2 linked regions of the Bombyx mori genome follow. The protein of the gene in region 2 interacts with the protein of the main gene of each other region in a pairwise test. Links are inferred from orthologs where the notes say so. Each region holds a gene or a part of one and is shown on either strand. Other genes may lie near its edges.

Evidence for each region.
Region 1: the proteins of brahma-associated protein of 60 kDa (region 2) and akirin protein interact in binary tests that used the Drosophila melanogaster proteins (3 or more experiments, as listed by UniProt). The link is inferred for Bombyx mori from reciprocal best matches to the Drosophila melanogaster genes Bap60 and akirin.

The regions. Positions count from the first base shown.
Region 1 is NC_085128.1:2,361,359-2,364,414, forward strand, and holds part of akirin protein, read right to left. Parts: intron 2,710-3,056; coding exon 2,522-2,709; intron 2,216-2,521; coding exon 2,090-2,215; intron 699-2,089; coding exon 462-698; 3' UTR 1-461. UniProt on the Drosophila melanogaster protein: Molecular adapter that acts as a bridge between a variety of multiprotein complexes, and which is required for embryonic development and for normal innate immune response.
Region 2 is NC_085116.1:235,849-239,145, forward strand, and holds the end of brahma-associated protein of 60 kDa, read right to left. Parts: intron 2,535-3,297; coding exon 2,108-2,534; intron 1,999-2,107; coding exon 1,916-1,998; intron 1,849-1,915; coding exon 1,234-1,848; intron 1,164-1,233; coding exon 1,053-1,163; intron 976-1,052; coding exon 817-975; 3' UTR 798-816; downstream 1-797. UniProt on the Drosophila melanogaster protein: Involved in the recruitment and site-specific anchoring of the Brahma complex at specific promoter sites.

The sequences.
Region 1 (3,056 bases), on a different chromosome or scaffold from region 2:
AGTACACATTTCTTTTGTTTTTTACTTAATAAATCATATAATTAAAGGATAAGACAAAGATATCAATATCCGGAAAATTTTACAATGTGAAACTGCTTGCTTTTGTGATTATAATTGTAAAATTCGCACCTATTGGCACTGGAGCCATCTCTTATCAATTAGTGGCCCTAACAACCAAAAAATAGCACAATAACGTCATCTAAATGAGGGTAGACGAACGATATTGATTGAGGTCGTATCATAAATCGCACCATACTAAGGGGCCTATATGCACAAGAACAAAGGTGCGACAATAATCAAACCGAATACAAGAACGCGAAGCGAGACTATACGTGAAGCAATTATATAGTAAAGAGCGACACCTATTCAGTATGCAAACAGCAAGCATATATTGTATGTACAGTGATACTATAATTTTGATCCTGAGAACTGTCAATAAACATATGTGTGTTTTAATTACTTCACCTTGTACATGAAGTTAACATAAGAGGCCCAAACCTCAATAACAAAGGTAAAACCATTTTTTTGAAGTAACATTTTTTCACAAAGCAGAGAACCAAATGGTATCCACGGGCAAGAGCTTGTGTAAAAGGACAACTTTGTAACAAATACTCACAGCTGGGTACGAGGTCCTGGTGCATGTGTTCGGCGTCCATACCGAGCGACATGCACGTGCTGGGCGGGGGTCGGCGCTGCACCTGTAATTCACCAATTTTTAGTTAAAACCAAATTAATTAATTCTAATTTAGGAACCAACTTAACTAGCTAATAACATCATCAAAACCAAATAACTGTTTTATTAGGTAATTAGTGGAGATGAGCAGCCAAGCTCATGGCTCTTAAGTTTACTTAGAGGTCATTAAATGTTAATGACCTCTAAGTAATAATTAATTACACATACTGTAAATGAATTAAAATTATAAACAATACAATGCACGTATTTCTTAAAGGACTAAAAATTTTATTTGTGCCATATAAAAATCTCCAGCAGTTAGAGCTTCGGAGAAACCTCCTCACAATGCACACTGTGTCGAGAATGACAGCTTTCTGCACTAGGTTTTTAAGCCAGCTGGATTGTGAAAGCTCCTTAAGGTGTTGGTTAAAGCTCTTCAGCATTAAATCATGCACTTGCACAACCATCAGAAGATTAAATATTTTATCAATGTATCTTTATCCTTTTCAGTCTTCTGGAGGTCTTTTGAAGTCGTCGTGGTCTAACGGATAAGACGTCCGGTGCATTCGCGTTGAGCGCGATGCACCAGTGTTCGAATCCCGACGGCGGGTACCAATTTTTCTAATGAAATACGTACTCAACAAATGTTCACGATTGACTTCCACGGTGAAGGAATAACATCGTGTAATAAAAGTGAAACCCGCAAAATTATAATTTGCGTAATTACTGGTGGTAGGACCTGTTGTGAGTCCGCGCGGGTAGGTACCACCGCCCTGTCTATTTCTGCCGTGAAGCAGTAATGCGTTTCGGTTTGAAGGGTGGGGCAGCCGTTGTAACTATACTGAGACCTTACAACTTATATCTCAAGGTGGGTGGCGCATTTACGTTGTAGATGTCTATGGGCTCCAGTAACCACTTAACACCAGGTGGGCTGTGAGCTCGTCCACACATCTAAGCAATAAAAAAAAAAAAAAAGGTTCTCATTGTGGTGAATGGAGATATCAACCAAATCAAACCCAGCTGTTAACAGGATTTCATGCTTATTGAACAGGACTATGGTTACCGCAGGAGTCAGTAGAGCCTTTTCAAGAACTGATTAAGGTTGGTATTGACAATAACATACAGCAGAATCTACAAAACCATATTTCAGGGCAAGTGAATGTTACTGAATATTCCAAGCCACTTGCTTGTATCTATGAAGTATTCTTGCTGTCACAAAAATTTGCAACCAGAAATAATTTATCTAATACTTCTACCTGCATCTAAAGCTATAGTATAAATTCCTAATAGTTATTCATAATGATAACTCAATTCATATTTGCAGAGATACATAACTTTCTGTTTCCTAAAGAAGCTAGAATGTAGCTAGACCACAGAACCTAATTTAATACTTTAAGTATAAAAATATTATTGTACCTGATCCAGGTTGAACCTCACAAAGGCTTCATACTGTTCAGCAAGCTTGGTGCTGAGTACAGACTCATACTCAGCACGTAGAGCCACCTCCTGATCATGGAGCATTCGCTCACAGATCATACGAACCTGAATAAACACATTATATTTATAATGATAGGGGGTGCTTCAGAATGAATAAACAATAAAAATAAAAAAACTTAATTGTGTTTTCTGTAACATAATAAGAAAAAAACATTTAAAGCCCTTAATCTCTTTTAAAATTTATATTTTAAACAAACAACTTACTTTTTACTGAATGACAATAAAGAAAAATCCTTTTTAAAAACTAAAGAGTTTTAAATAATATAGGCTTTTTCTTTACACATTTTTAATTAAAATGAGGTGGATCTAAACCAGAATTGAATATAAAAAATGGAGCATTAATTATTAGACCTGTTTAAAAGTGAATAGTGCACGAGTGCGGGCACGTTGTGGGCCATGAGCTGATTGATGAGGCGGTGAACAGTCTCCTTCGGATCCACTTGATGATGAGCATGATGCAGCAGAGCCGTTGGCCAGGCGCAGCTGTCCACGTCTATGCAGTCGTTTAATCTCATCATAAATCTCTTGTGCCATGCGTTCTGTAAACATTTTAATTTAGTTAGGAATTAAGTTTATTGGCGCAAAATGAGTCATGATGATCCTTGTAATTGTTATAGATCAAAACTGAATATGTGTAAGAAGTATAAGTTCATTTATGATGATGAGCAAAATAACCCACTGTCCACCTGGTGAAAATGGATTTGATTGTGTTTCTTGATTTAAGAATTGATTCCGGGCTACTTCACAAATTCAAGTTAACAAGTAGATCTAGTTCTGAAGCCTGTGTGATATTGCCAATATTCATAGATCACATAATGCTTTCAAATGTGTGAAAGCTTAGACAAACATGTGCAGCCAATTATGTCATACACTAAAAATTTTAAAA
Region 2 (3,297 bases):
TTCATAATTTCGACTAGGATAAAAATAGCAATACGTCCAATTTAAAAAAATCTACATATGTTTTTATTACTTTTTGTTATAAACAAATGTGTTTATGATAGTCTACAATATGCTGGTTAAATTATAGTTATAATTTAGAATAAAATAAAATAAGTCTTGATCCTGATGTTGTTTCGTATTTGTAGTAGAACGAAACGTATCAAGAGGCTCGGATAAATCGGAGGGAAGAAGCTATCTACTGTTGGATAAAGAGAGATAGCACTTATCCGTGATTGTGAAACGCAAACTAAGGATAGATACGCTCTTGCTGATATTCGGAGATAGCTATCTATCCGAAAACTCAGATACGTTATTGAAAACGGCCGTAAGACTTGTGCCGTGGGCTTGTTTTCATTTTTTGTCTGCTTGACTATGCTGTTATCCACTTACAGCATGATCAATAATTATTAAACAAATAAATTCGCAGATTTTCTTAGGTAGTGCATCTAAGTATGAAAATTCTCCATCAAAATCTTCACATTTTTAGTCGAATTTTAGGAATATGGTAGAAATGTAGCTGCAGGGGTCCACCGGAACTACCTAAGTTTTGAAAGTGATCTATGAGAAAAGTCTGTGAACCTCTAGTTTATAATTGATGTGTTTAATTTAAAGCAGGATACAGTTTCTTTTTACATTACTTATATCACTTCATTTCATTCAATATTATCAGGAAAGCGTTTAATGACTTTCGCTATGAACAATAAAGAATGATGTCTGGCAGGAACTGAAGAGCTATTAAGTGAAATGAAAGTCCAGAGTTGGCGGGTAAGAGTATAATTAAAGGAGCGCGGGGCGCAGCGCCAGGTCGAGGTCGCGGCGGCGGGCCAGCAGGCGCGCGTGCAGGTGTCGCGCGGCCGCCTCGCCCGCCCAGCCCGCGCAGTAGAACTGTGCGCGCCGCTCCTCCTCCGGGTTGCCGCTGGCGCCGCCGCTCATGCTCTGCAACCCAGGTCACGGTGCTCACGTGGAGAATAATTTTTTTTAGCTTACGTTAATAATTTAATGTGATCACTGACCTTGAGGTCTCTGGACTGACTGACGAGCCACTTCTGGATGAACTGCTGCGGATCCTTGCTGAAGCTCAAGAAGAACTCGCGGTTTGTTTTCAACTGGTTGATGGTGTCCACCTGCAAGTCGACGGCGCCAGTCAGAGAGGGCGGGGGGCGGGGACGGTGCGGGGGCGGGGGTCGGACTCACAGTCTCGTGGATCTTGGAGTCGAGGCCTTGGATCTCCTGCTGGTTGGCGGTGCTGAGCAGGAAGTTGTTCATCTGCGCCTTGAGCGTGTCGTCCACCTCGACGTCGATGTCGTAGCAGGCGGTCTGCTTGGCGTCGTGCGGCGGCTCCACGGCGATGACGTGGTTGATGACGATGGGGTCGGGCGCGTGCAGCAGGGCGCCCAGGCGCGCCGGCACCTCGGCCAGCTTGACGCGCGGTGCCCCGAAGATCTGCTCGAGGTAGCGGTCGCAGGCGATGTACTCGCGCTCGTGCGGGTCCTGCAGGCGGTGCGTCTTCACGTACTGCCACAGCGCGTTCACTATGACGGGCCGCGTCTGCGTGTGCACGCCCAACAGCCGCGCCAGCCGCTGGTCCAGCTTGAACTGCAACGGCTGGTAGTCCAGCAGCAGCAGGATGGTGCACCGCACGTTCTTGTAGCCGGGTCGCTTCACCTGGAAGCCGTCCGTCTCCTGCGTGGTCACCGTGCGGTGCCACTCCACGAGGTGGTTGTCGGGCCCGTACAGATCTTTATCGAGTTCTATCACCAGAGACTTGAAGAACGACGAAAACTTCCGCTTCACCTGCAACGGGACATTCTGTGCTGAACGTTTAATGAAACCCATTCACGAGGAGCGTCCGGGGCCACGAGCGCGTCGCACCAACCTTGTTCGGATCGTTCTTGGAGTCGTCGAGCAGACGGCCCTCCACGCGCAGCTCCCACGACGGCACCGCGTTGTCGCCCTGACCTGCGCCGCCCACAAGCCAATGTATCAATAAGTTCAGCGCGGTGGTGCTGCCGGCAGCGGCGCGAGGCTTTGGTATTCGCTACCAAATAAATAAATAGAAAATACAAACCGGGGTAGAACGTGTTGGAGATGAATATTCGAAGTTTTCGTTTCTGTTTCATGGGGCGTTTGAGGGCTTCTTGAATGTCGAGACGTTTGCGCATTATGGTGGCGTCGAGTTTGCGTTCGAACGCGAGCAGGTCCATGTAGGCCTGCGACTCGGGCACGAGGTCCCGCACCTTCTGCGGCAGGATCTTGTCGGCGAGGCGCTTCTTGCGCTTGGCGGACGGCTGCGAGTACGCGTCGTACAGCGGCTTGTGCGGCGGCGGGTGCGGGGCGCGGACCTCACCCCCGCGCTTCTGTGCGACGGCGGAGGGGGGCGCCACGGGGGAGGGCGAGGGCGGCGCGGGGCGGGGGCCGCCGCCATAGGCCGCACCCCCCGCCGCTCGCGCGCCCCCTCCTGCCACTACGCCGCCGCCGCCGAATCCGCTGCGTGCCTGTTGACAATTTGATCTTGTTAGCATTGCAGTTTGTAAAAAAAATTGCGATGTTTATGGACCTTGTGCAGTGTCTGTCAGAGTAGCACAAATTTGGTTTAAGCGTTTTCAATCCGGAATTTTTGATGTCAAAGATGCACGTCACTCTGGTCGCCCTATTACAGATCAAATGGATGCCATTTTTAAAAAAAATGGAGCAAGATCGGCTTATCAGTAGTTACGACGTAGCTGAAAAACTGGGAATTGACCACAAAACAGGTTTGGCGCATTTGAAAAAAAACTGGGTACACGAAAAAGCTTGATATTTCGGCAAAGGCCGGTCAGGCTTAACAGACTGTGGCGAAACACGGTGTAGCTCGCAACAAGGTAATGCATTTTGTGTGGTGGGATTGGAAGGGCATTATTCATTATGAGTTGTTACCACAAGGCAGGACCATCGATTCTAAGCTCTACTGCGAACAACTGAAGAGATTAAAGCAAGAAGTAGAGAGAAAGCGGCCGGAATTCGTCAACAGAAGGGCTGTGGTTTTTTATCATGATAACGCTAGACCTCACACATCTTTAGCCACTCAGCAAAAATTAAGAGAGCTTGGAGATGTTAATGCTTCTGCCGTATGGTCTTGACCTTGCACCTTCCGATTTCCACCTGTTTCGGTCTCTTCAGAACTCTTTAGGCCAAAACCAATTGTCGCGGTATTTTGATCAGAAGCCCCAAAATTTCTATAGCAATGGGATCATGTCCCTACCTACAAGTTGGCAAAAA